Linked DNA regions of Rattus norvegicus. The protein of the gene in region 1 interacts with the protein of each later gene in a biochemical or structural test. Links are inferred from orthologs where the notes say so. Each region holds a gene or a part of one and is shown on either strand. Other genes may lie near its edges.

Evidence for each region. The genes of interacting proteins can lie anywhere in the genome.
Region 2: the proteins of Magi2 (region 1) and Adrb1 interact in a test that uses a peptide from one of them, tested with the Homo sapiens proteins (4 studies listed by IntAct, with this or other methods). The link is inferred for Rattus norvegicus from reciprocal best matches to the Homo sapiens genes MAGI2 and ADRB1.

The regions. Positions count from the first base shown.
Region 1 is NC_086022.1:16,758,338-16,764,562, forward strand, and holds the start of Magi2 (membrane-associated guanylate kinase, WW and PDZ domain-containing protein 2), read right to left. Parts: upstream 3,799-6,225; 5' UTR 3,664-3,798; coding exon 3,363-3,663; intron 1-3,362. Other genes in the region: uncharacterized protein 4921504A21Rikl, read left to right, coding at 4,259-4,838. UniProt on the Homo sapiens protein: Seems to act as a scaffold molecule at synaptic junctions by assembling neurotransmitter receptors and cell adhesion proteins. Plays a role in nerve growth factor (NGF)-induced recruitment of RAPGEF2 to late endosomes and neurite outgrowth.
Region 2 is NC_086019.1:265,775,151-265,781,227, reverse strand, and holds Adrb1 (beta-1 adrenergic receptor), read right to left. Parts: upstream 4,126-6,077; 5' UTR 3,871-4,125; coding exon 2,470-3,870; 3' UTR 1,114-2,469; downstream 1-1,113. UniProt on the Homo sapiens protein: Beta-adrenergic receptors mediate the catecholamine-induced activation of adenylate cyclase through the action of G proteins. This receptor binds epinephrine and norepinephrine with approximately equal affinity.

The DNA.
Region 1 (6,225 bases):
TTTGTTGTTATTATTGTTGTTTGTTGAATCGATGTAAAGGGATTTAAGTAGCTCAGAAAAACTGTAAACACATGCCTTCTTTAGAGTATGCCTTAAAATATTAGTTTCTCATTTTCTTTAAAAATTAGAATTATTATAAGCTATGATGGCTATAATGCAAAATTAGCCAAAAAGTAAGTAAAATTTGGGTAAATATTTAAATTTATTTAGGGTATATTTTGCTAGTGCAAATAAATTTATTATACAAATTTCCCATTTCTAACAAAATCTCCCCTAGTTTTGCTACATGTAGTTTCTGTGTGATGTTCAATATTTAACTAAACCTTTAAAACCAATCTCATTAATATTTAAAAAACCCACCTCCCAAGCAAACCATGTTTAAGTTCTGTCTATTCTATCTTTTTCTTTTTTTCTTGTTTCTCCCCAGAAATAGAACTGCTAAGCCAAGAGCTACTAAGCTTCTACCCAATTTTCAAACAAGTACAAACCCAACTGAAACCCAAGAATCATGGGCTCTAATACAGTGTCCTGCAACTTTCAGTTACTCATAATTATAATTAAATAAATCTAACCACTGCTGATAAAAGATCAATTTCATAACAGAATATATAGGAATCACTAGATTTAAATAAATGTACTATTGTGGATTTCCCAAAAGCTATTTTCTTTCTTTCTTTTTTTTTTCCGGAGCTGGGGACTGAACACAGGGCCTTGTGCTTGCTAGGCAAGCGCTCTACCACTGAGCTAAATCCCCAACCTCCCAAAAGCTATTAATTATTTAATCTATATCTGTTTGAATTCAGTAGATGAATGTCTATTATTGGACACCTGGATGCTGACAGACTAAGGGTTAACATATACTGTGAAAAGGTTTTCACCTAAATACCTCAGTCCATAAAAATAAGTTTCCTGAATCTAAACAGTTATATTTTTCCAAACAAAATATAAGCAAGAAGCTAATTGATCAGGACCAACTTTAGCTAAAATCAAGGCTGGATGGAGATGGACCTCTGTGGATCTTTCTGCTTCTTTGCCAAGATCCAGAATAAGGGAAACCTCATCTTACAACATTGCTCACAGCTCTGCTCTGCTAAAGATTCTGCTTCCCCAAGGGAAAGACTTGCCAAATTCGCCCTAGTTTTATCATTTATCACAGAATAGGCAAAAAAAAAATCCCATTTCTTATCTAAGATTCCCTATGTGCACAACTTTTGTGCCTTCACTCTTTCATTGTCTCTCTGGATGTCAATTGCTAAGTGGCTAGTACCAGATATTTTCTTTTAATCATTAATTACATTAATACTAATAAACATTTATCGTTTACGAGTGTTAGAGTTGGGCAAAGTCTATCTCAAGATGTAGACATCAGAGTAAAATGCAGAAATAAAATGGTCAGTGGAAACCACAAGGAAAAAAATCACTGTGGAAGTGTGTTAACTTGGGCTGGTGAGGCTCATCTCAGGAAAAGCTTCTCACCAAGGCTAATTTCCCATCTCTGACCCCCAGAACATTAGAGGAGAACTGATTGGCAAGGGCTGTTTTCTCATTTCCATATCACACAATGGGCATATCCACCCTCCATCCCATCCATCCATTCATCCATCCATAAACCATCAACCCATAAACAAATAAGTATAAACATTAACTTTTGCCGTTGCTTTCCTTTGCAAATACCAGTATTTTTGCCACCAAATAACGGTCGATGGTCAATTGTGGTAGATTTCTTGGCCTCTAACCTTGAACTCTGCATTTGTTATTTGCTATGATCCACTCTGTTAACATAAAATGCATGAGCACAACTTTCTGAATGTGAGTTCAAAGTATGTCACAACTGGAGGTTACTCTAATATCTGACCCATCTTCTTCGGTGTCACACAATACCGCACGTTTGCGTTAGATGATCTAAAATGATAGAGGATGAACACTCCAGAAATTCCACTGAAGATGTTTTCCTCCGTGACAGCTTAGCTTTGGGGAAGTTTATCAACCTTTCTTCTAGGTCGTTTACTTCGAAAGTTTTTGTTTTGTTTTGTTTTGTTTTGTTTTATGCTGGAAAAAAAATCCACAACTGCTCTGTGGTATTTCTTCATAATGGATCGCAGCATGAATAGCAATTCAGAATACAGTGATACTCAGAATTTCAACACTGGCGCAAGACAGAGTAACAATAGACAACAAACTGTCATACCAATAACGCTGGTATGAGTGAGACACATCTGTCCTCTCCACCTGTGCCACCCAGGAAACTGCATTACCACCAGAGGAACACAAAGACATGCTACATTTGTAAAATAAAGTCTCTTCTAATGAAACTTTTATCTCAGGCTTTCCTCCCTCAGGGCCACAATTTTTATTTCAAGCCAAGACATTCATTGTTCAGCAAGATTCCAATCTCTCTAAATTCACTTCCCAGCCCTGAAAGAAGCTCATCAAAGCCAAGTTATACACAGGGAGCCTGAGCTGTGACCAACTTGCCTCTCCATCCACCTCCGTGCTACAAACATGCCCCCGGGTCTGAAGCTAGAGGAGAGCCCAACCACAGAGAAATCCTAGTCAAGAAGAAAATCCCAGTCAATGAAGAGCACTTCGGGGGAACGCTTGATTGCTGCAGTCTGCCTCCCCACCAACACTACAAACTAGCTCTCCCAGCTCCTAGCATTAATCTCTGCCCCTCCTCCTGCCTGCTGGCCAGAGGGATCTCTAGGGTTAGTCAGTCTGCACGTGACTCCCGGTGCCCACATGACAAGACCATGGGCGGGGGAGAAAGGAGTGAAGCAGGGAAAAAGTTACTGAACACTGGTCAGAGCGTCCAAACCAATTTATTCATTTCCTTCCTTGTCAGCCAGTGGCTCAGGGGTCCCTAGGGAACCGCTACTGACCAAGGTGTCTCCAGACTACTTTTGGATATACTGCAAGCATTCTCCACTTGCCCCAATATTCAGAGCTTTTCCCAACCTCCCTAGTGACACCTCTGCACCTCAAGTTGCTCCATCTTCCTTTCTTCCTCACCCCTGGCTTTTTTTCCTTCCCCGAAAGCTCTATGTCCACTGTGGGCATGCCACTGACGCACATTCTATTTGGCCCTGGAGCTCAGAGGAGGTCGGACAAGGCCAAGCATCTTCCAAAGGGGAGGGTCCAACTAGGCAAACTAAGTTGCCTGCTACACTGCCACCTGGCTCAGCCAGCCTACCAGTCCCCCTGCCCCCGTCCCACTATTGCTCCGAACACAGTTAGGATGCTCTCTGGACCCCACCCCGCGGTGGCGCAGCATTCACCCATCCAACCCCCGCGCCCACCCTATTGATGCCCTCCCCACGCCGGGGTCCCACCACCCGGCAGAGCACCGAGCAAGCTGCGCTCACCTTGCTTGACACACTTGAGCCGGAGGGGGTCCTTGCAGTGTTTGATCACGGCCAGAACATCCCTGATGGTGAGCCCCGCCACGGGGGTCTCGTTCACCTCCAGCAGCAGCTCCTCGGACACCAACTTGCTGCCGCTTTCATAGGCCACCTTGCCCGGCTTCACCTCCCCCAGGTAGGGGAACTGTCCGTTTTCGGCGCCCCCCTTCAGTTCAAAGCCCAGCTGGCCCTCCGGGTTTCTGCCAATGACACTCTCGTGGACTTTGCTAGTCCAGTGGCTTTTCTTTTTCAAGCTTTTGGACATGGCAGTAGGGTGAGTCTCCTCAGTTCCTGAGGGTCCGTTGGGAAGGAGGGTCTGGGAGTCAAAATCGGGATGGAGGAGCAAGGGGGCCAAGGGAAGAGGGTGGCAGACTTTGCCTTTCTCTCCCTCTGCTCCGCGCTTTCCCTCTTCTTTGGATGGAGTGTGGCGGAGGAAGGGGGAGGATGAGAGGGACGGCTGGGCAGAGGTAGGAGAGCTTGGGTGAGGTTGTGCTGTCCCTTGAATGACACTCAAGGCTTTGGCCCCGCAGCGGAGGAAGCTGTGGTGGCGTTGGCGGCGTTAGCGGCGGTGGCGGCGGCCGAGCCAGCGCGAGCAGTGGCCGAGCTGGTGAGCGGGTGGCGTGGGGGTGGGGAGGAGGGTAGGGATGCCGGGGGCCACTCCTGCGTGCTGCGAGTGGGGAGCGCGCGCGCGCTCGCCGGCCTCTGTGTTGTTAGCCGATATCCATGGCAGCTGCAGTGGCAGCGGTAGGGAACGCGTGTGTGTGCGCGTGTGCGCGTGTGAGCCTGTGTACTAGTTGTACTGTACTGGCAGGATGTAAGCGGGCGGCAGAGGGGGGTTCGGGTGGGGGGGGGGATAGGGGATGCGAGCGGAGGGAGGAGGCGCGCGCACCGGGTGGAGCGCCAGGGAGGGCTTCGCCGCGGTTTCCCTCCCTCCGCGGCTTGACCCGGTAGTGAAGGCGCGGGGAGAGGCAGGCCCCGGGCCGCCCCGCAGCCTTCGGGAGGAGGCGGGAGCCGGGAAGGAGGGGAGCGGAGGCCCGGCGTGGGCAGGCCGGCGAGAAGAGCCTGGATCCTTGGGTGGACCTGTCTATAGCTTCCCTGCGAGCCGGGCTGCTCGCCTGCAGGACGCCCGGACTTGCTCACACCCCAGCAGGGACAAAGCAGAAATCCGGGGACCCGAGGGCAAGCCCGGTGCCGGGTGGCCCATCTGCAGCGCCTCCAGTCTTCTGGGGCTCCATCCCAACGCGAGGAAGCTGGAGTTCGGAGTCCTAGAGTGGAACTGCAGAGGGCCTGGCAGCCCAGCCGGAGCCGGTGGAGAGAGACTTCACTGTTGGCTCGCTCCACTTTTACAGTCTTTACGTTCCTCGCAAAGTTCTCAGAAGTGGCCCTCTGATAGAGGAAAGTTAGAGGAACGAGTCTGGTCGTCCTGGCTGCAAGAAGAAGGTGAAATAACATCTGCAGAGCAGGGCCATGTGTCCCCTGGGAAGAAACTGAAGAGGATTGAGTGGAGACTGGGTAGAGGGCACCTGCCCGAGTTGAAAACTGGAAAGGGGCGGTGGGGGAGGTGTTAAGGAGATAACTGGTGTAAGAGACTGGACATAGACATGGAGAGTTTAATCTGGACAGGAGTCAAGCCTTAGTTTAATCAGACAAACAACCTCTGCTACAGGAAGGGAAAGAAGGCTGGTGATGGAGCATGAACTCAGCTCGCTGTACCCCCATCTAGCTCCTTCCCCTTCTTAGAGCCAGGTGGAAAACTAAGCAAGGCACAGGAAGCTGAGGGCCGCTGATTTCTCCAGGGAAACCCTGAGTGGTGCTTTTTGAGTTTCCATAGCTTAAATTTCATTTGCTTAAATTTGAAATAATACGTTTCAGACAAAAAAAAAATCACTCACCCACTCGTCTTTGTAAAATCAGAGCACGGGAATTATCAGCGGTTAAGATCCTTATGTCTGGAATAGAGTGTGGGAGGGAAGCAGTGCAGTTCAAAAGGCTTAGCTGACCCAGACAGAAAAGAGGGGGTTTGAATCCTGGCTTTGCTGCGGGGCTTTGCAGGAGTCCCACATTTAGCAGGCGCCTTCACCTTTCTCTCTTCGCTTCTTTTTAAATAGGGTTAACAATACTAACGGGGCCTGATGCAGTGAGGAGAAAATCAGGCAAGGCAGGGAAAGGGCTGCCCTGCACAGGTTAGCTTTGAACAGCAGGTCCTTCCTTTTCCGCTCCACCCCCACCCCTCATAGAGACCACAGCAAATTAGGTCAGAACTGAAGATCTTTACAAAGGGTGGATTTGCTCGACTTCATGCCTTTTCCACTTGAGAAAATGGATGTCCAGAAAGTTAGCTATGACTGGTGAGGGCTACCCAGTCATTGGCCTTCAGGAGTGTTCAGGAACCAGCGAGGTGTCCATTGGAAGCCCAGTCTCATCTGAAGTTAGGCTGAGGATTATGAAGCACCATCCTGAGTGGAAAGTGACAGTCATAGCAAATGGGATGGCATTTGTTTAACACCAGTTACACATTACCATCACTGTGTGTTCTGATATTTAAAGTTCTAATTGGTTATCAGGTTTTATACTATGGTTATATTGTAGACTTCTTTACAGGTGGGGAGAGGGAGGCAGGCAATGATAGATTTTACCTACCTCCGTTTTTATATCTTATAAAGTTATGCATCTAACCACTGTAACAATAATCTCATGCATCTGCATCCAGACCCTTTTGATTGTCTTCACAGCTCTATCCAATCACTGCCTTGAGCTCTTCCCTGTTACCCATATTACTTAGCACACGTCATAGCAGGACTCAGTATAGTGTGGCCATAGATTTAGG
Region 2 (6,077 bases), on another chromosome or scaffold:
TATTATCATTCATCATTTTCTCCCTGTCCCTCCCCTTCCTCTTTCTTTCCTTATTCAGTTCCTACTTTCTTTTTCTGGAAAGATGGGGTGAACCTGTGACAAGCCTTTGTTGACAGGGCTGCCGTTCATTCAGCCTTCCTTCCACAGGGATCTAAAGACCAGCGCTGTTCTCAAATGTCCCTGAGCTTGCACACAGGCATTGGGAGAAAGGATGGGGAGTCCTGCCATTGCCTGGAAGAAGCTGTCTGTCCATCTTAGAGTGGAGCCTGAGCCCAAACCGTATACTTTCCATTCTGGTTACGTTACGGTTCAGTCGTGAAATGGGAGGCTTGTTTAGACATATTGAACAAACAGATTTGGGGAATGTACAATTAATCTCAGGATGGAATTTTACTATACTCTCCTGGGGAACTGATTTTAATGAAGAAAAGCAAAACAAAACAAACAGCAAAAAGACCTCTATCCATTCGGGTGTTATAACTCTGTTAGGAAGTTAAATGGAAGTTAGGAGGTTTGCCTTTCCTGCCCACCCAGAACTTCTGCTGAAAAGGATCTAGGTACTTCTGCGAGAGAGATAATAATTACTTCAGGAGCCCTTTTATACATCTTTGCTTAAGCACCAACTTTCCCCCCCATCCTAAGCAGCCACTGGAGAGCTGGGAGCCCACTGTGGTTTTCGATGGGGACACAAACATAAACTGTGGAAGCCACTCACCGTATTTCAAGTGGGTGACATCGTCCCGTGGGTCATTCCTTCCTTCCGGTCTGTGGTCTGTTTTTCTGTGAGAAGTTGTTCCTGAGTTACCTGGCTCCAACACTCTCTTTGGCTCTCCTTGGCAGAAGATACCACAATCCCTTCTTCCATCCAGTGCAGCAGATGGGCTCTTGGGGGTGCCTAAGTTGTCTGGAATACCTTGAATCCGGCTGTGAAAATTTAGGGCAGATCTGGGGCTCTCTGTTGGTGACCACCTTATTTGGTTTAGAGGCATTTTGCTCTGCGATTGAGTCATGAAGAGACATTAAAAGGCTGCCAGTCTGTGCTTTGAAGCAGACACTCAGTCTCTTCTGTCATCACGGACCCCTTACAGACAGACACACGGCACATAACCTCGGTTGCGCTGCACTGCTGCTTTATTGCACATGGACCAATTCCCCACATGGTACTTAGTCGCACCAGAGTATAAATACTTGGTCACACACACAAGAAGAGATAGAATATACACACGAATGCTAAATTTTACCAGCAGATTCACGTGGGCACTTGGACATTAAAAAATTATAATAAAAATACGTAAGATAATAATATTTATAATATGGATACAGTTACAGTACCATGATAAGAGTATAAAAAGTGATTTCCCAATAAATCATCAACTCAATAACATAATAGACAAGAGAAACTGAGTTTGAATTTTATTTTTTAGCATTTTAAAGATCTGCCCACCTCCCCGTCCCATTAAAAATATTTAATTTTTTGTGCAAGTTAACAACTTCTATGGATTTTACAATGTCTAACACTGTGCAAAATGGCCTTTCAACCACTGCCTTTTTTTTTTTTGTCATCTTTGTTTTTAGCCACATGTGCAATAATCCCAACTGTTTCCTTTTGTTCTGTCCTATCTTTAGTTGACAGAATCACATGTCACAGAGAGAGACTCAGCGCCTGGTCCTTCCAACTAATATTGATACATAAATAAGCTGTTTAATATAAACAAGTCTTTCTATCTTGCTGTGCAATATGCACAGAGTGAGGTAGAGGACCCACAGCAGGACCACCGAGGCGCGCAGGGGACAGGGTTTGCCCTCCAGGAGAAAGCAAGGTGAACCGTGCTCCACAAATAGTTTCTCGAAACCAGATTGGTCTGTTTCTCAGCCACCTTTCCCCCCTTTGCTTTAAGGAGACACCAATACTCCGGAATTAATATGCAATTTCTTTAGAAAGCAAAAGGAAACACTTCCTGGCTAATTATCACCGCTCCTGCCCCCACCCCAAACCAGAGCTGAACACTTAGGTTCCTAGGTGTGAAGTCAGAAGGCCAGGTGATAGACTCCACCCTCCCCCTTCCCCTCCCCTCCTAGTTTCCACTCGGGTCCTTGCAGAAAGTGTCAAAACCCACGGGGGGGGGGTGCCTAAAGGTGCATTAAACACACGAAAGGCCGAACCTCAGAGAGAAAGGAACTCAAGACAAGCCAGTAAGCCACACTAAGCCACACTCTCCCAACTACTCCCAAACTTTCCTTTTTGCGCAACGCTCGGTCCCGGGCTTTTCTGTACGTCTCGGATGATTCAAAAGATCTGTGGGCTTCGCATTCACCTGCTTTCGGTCTTGAGTAAACAGAAACCTCCTCTCTCCCCTGGGGAGCGGCTCAGGGGCGCCCAGGCGGGCTCTCTTCCTCTAGGGATGCAGAGCCCGTGTCCAGCCCGGGACTATGGGGAGCGGCGTCCGTGCGCCCGGAGAGCCTGGCCCTCTACACCTTGGACTCGGAGGAGAAGCCCTGGCGTCCCGGCTCGTCCAGGCTCGAATCGCTGTCCACAGTGGTCGTCCCGCCGTTGCAGCCGGCCCAGGGCTCCAACAGGCGCGCGGGTGGGGTGGCCCCGGCGTCATCGTCGTCGTCGTCCGAAGGAGCCCCGGGGGACGGCGGCGGCCCAGCTCTCGCCAGGCAGCCCGAGGCGCGCGGCCGGTCCCCGTGGGCTGCGCGGCGTCTGCAGGCGGCCCGGCGCGCGCAGCAAAGCAGGCGCTGGAAAGCCTTGCGGAAGTCGGGGCTGCGGCAGTAGATGATGGGGTTGAAGGCCGAGTTGGCGTAGCCCAGCCAGTTGAAGAAGACGAAGAGGCGATCCGGCACCAGGTCGCGGTGGAAAGCTTTCACCACGTTGGCCAGGAAGAAGGGCAGCCAGCAGAGCGTGAACACACCCATGATGATGCCCAGTGTCTTGAGCGCCTTCTGCTCTCGCAGAGCCACGAGGCGCGACGGCCGCCGCTTGCTGGAGCGCCCGTTGGCCAGCGAGTCTGCGGGGCGCGGTGGCCCTGGTGATGGCGAGGGCGCGGGCGAGGGCGGCCGGGGCGGGCCGCTGAGGAAGCGGCGCTCGCAGCTGTCGATCTTCTTCACCTGTTTCTGGGCCTCGCGGAACACCCGGAGGTACACGAAGGCCATGATGCACAGGGGCACGTAGAAGGAGACGACGGACGAGGCGATGGCGTAGGCCCGGTTGGTGACGAAATCGCAGCACTTGGGGTCGTTGTAGCAGCGGCGCGCTTCGTCGCTCTCGGCCCGCCACCAGTGCATGAGGATGGGCAGGAAGGACACCAGCGCGGAGATGGCCCACACTGTGCACACGAGGGCCCGCGCTCGCGCGCGCGTCAGCAGGCTCTGGTAGCGAAAGGGCGACGTGATGGCGAGGTAGCGGTCCAGGGCGATGACACACAGGGTCTCGATGCTGGCCGTCACACATAGCACGTCTACCGAAGTCCAGAGCTCACAGAAGAAGGAGCCGTACTCCCAGCGGCCCCACACCACAATGGTGGCCCCGAAAGGCACCACCAGCAGTCCCATGACCAGATCGGCGCTGGCCAGGGACATGATGAAGAGGTTGGTGAGCGTCTGCAGCCGCGGGGTCTTGGCGATGGCCACGATCACCAACACGTTGCCCACTACGATGAGCAGCACGATGAGCGCCAGGAGTAGGCCCATACCCGCGGTCCACTGCTGCGACAGCGGCGCTGAGCCCTCGCTGGCTGGAGGCAGCAGCGAGGCGGGAGGCGACGCGAGCACCAGCAGTCGTGCCGCGGTGGCCGCGCCGTCGGGCAGCGGCGCGGCCGACGACAGGTTGCAGGGTTCGGAGGCGCCCAGGGCGAGCGCCCCCGCGCCCATGCCGAGCTTCGGAGGCCGGGGGCGGGGGGTGTGGCGGGACTGGGCCGCGCCTGGGAAGCACCCCAGGAGCCGGGGCTGCGGGGCCCGCGCGGGGAGGTCGCGGCCAGGTCAGGGCAGCCGCGGCTTGGGGCCGGAGGCATGGACGCCGGGCGCCTTCTCCTCCGTAGCCAAGCGCTGTCGCCGCCGCCGCCGCCGCCGCTGCTGCTGGAGCCGCTGTCGCTGCTGGAAGAGCCGCCGGGACCTCAGCATGTTTCTGAGCGCGCGGGGCCGGCGGCTCCAACACCCAGCACCTCCCCCCCACCTCGCTCCCTACCCCCCAGCCAGCCCCCGGGGCCGCGCGTCAGGCTCCCGCAGCCAATCGTCGCCAAGGCACGCCCCCGAACAATGGTGTCCCCACCCCCAACACCCAGCACCCCCTCCTACCGCGATTGAAAGGCTCCAAAGATTGCGGGTGGACTACGCAGCCGGCACCCACGGGCTGCAGCGAGCGCGCCCTTTCCTGCTCAGGCTTCTTCCAGAGTCTGGTCTGCTGCGCCCTCTGCGGTGCCCCGCCGCCTCCTGTGCCCACCCCCACCGCCCAAGTGGTGTCCGCTTGCCCTAGCACCCAGCTCTCATTTTGCCGCTCCCGCAAGAGCGCCCGTTTCCCTTCGGCGCCCCGTAGCGCCCTCGCCTTTCTACCTCTAGTGCATGGTTCCTGGTAGCTAGAAGGGAAACTTGCTGGCGTTCCGGAGATGCCTTGGACAGCCTATCTGCTGGGATTGGGGAATTTAGCTGTGAGACTGGTTCTGCCATCAGGCAGCCTGGCTCTTCCCTGATCGCGAGGGGACCCGGCCAGAATGACAGCTTGGGGAATAGGAAGTGGGTGTTAGTTATTAGAGGAAACTTTGCAGCCAGGCGGATTGCTGGAGCAGAGTGCGCATCTGTCAGAAAGGCTCTCTGGGCGCTGTTCTTGCGCAGAGCTGTGCTCTCTCTCCCTCAAGTGCAGTGGATGGGGAAAGGAAGGGAAGGTTTGTGGCTGTAACTGCCAACGCCAAGGACCAGTTGGACACACACAGTTCCCAATCCCAGCTAAGGAAAAGGATGCGATGAGTTCTGAGTATAAAGGAGAAGTTTAGGGCAACATTAAGTCCGGAGTAAATGACACCGCCCCACCCCCAACCCCCACCCCGCCTAGAAAGAACTCAGAGAATGACGCTTCAGACTTTTTGACTCCAGTACCAACACCTTAACACCCGCGTTTGTACTCTGGTACCCATGGGATTTTATAATCTGAGCTGAGTCAACACAAGGTACTATCCCTTTTTGGTTGACGTCATGAACTGGGATTTCAGACTTCTTGGTAGGGTGGCTAGATTCTCAAAATTGCGGGATCAGCTTTGGGAAGAGCTTTGGGAAGCAAGAAAATATATAAATACGCGAGGCGATTAAATCGGAAAGCATTTAAAGTCACGCCGCATTTCCCCCTTCACATTGTCGAGTGAATCTGAAACTAGAGTGTTTGACTTCACTCCTGATGGAAGCTGAGGATGAACCTCAGGCTGTGGTCCTCTGATCTGCCCCCTGGGAATGCCTCCACCTCGGGCCATAAGAAGGAAATCTGCAATTAAGTTCTTGAGAAGCAAACAGTTCCCAATTGTCTCTGAAGGGAAGGGTGCACGGTCGTGTTATATAATGTTATGTAATGCTCTGGAGTCTCTCTTGCTTTGGAATAAAAAGATTAGCATCTGGGAGGAGCATCAACATGTGGCCAAGCTGGTACTCTCTCACCTTGCCAAAAGACCAGCCTGGCAACTGCCCACCTGCAGCCTAACTCTTGGTAAAGTCAAATCTGTGGATGTGATTTAGACTCAGGTTTGACCACCTGGGAAGTGATTTACCCCTGCCCTGGAATTAGCAGGCCTCAGTTCTGCCAACTTGGGGAGTTTTGAGAATCTGGGAACGGGAACTCCACAGAGGGCAGAAGCACCCATAGTCACCCCAGCCTTTTCAAACAAGGGTCTTTCCTTCCCCAGGCTTTTAAGGGATGTCTGGAAGGGCTCAAAGGGCAATCTGAAAACAGCCAGTGTTTTGGAATGAGTTGATATTAAGGCTGATCAAGAAAGGGCCTCTGGGTGCTGGGGTGCGGAGAAATGTGGAAAGAGGCTTTCTGCTAAGTAGTGCTATTGGGATGCAGTGTGTCAACCTCGTGTCCCCAGGACATGGCATTC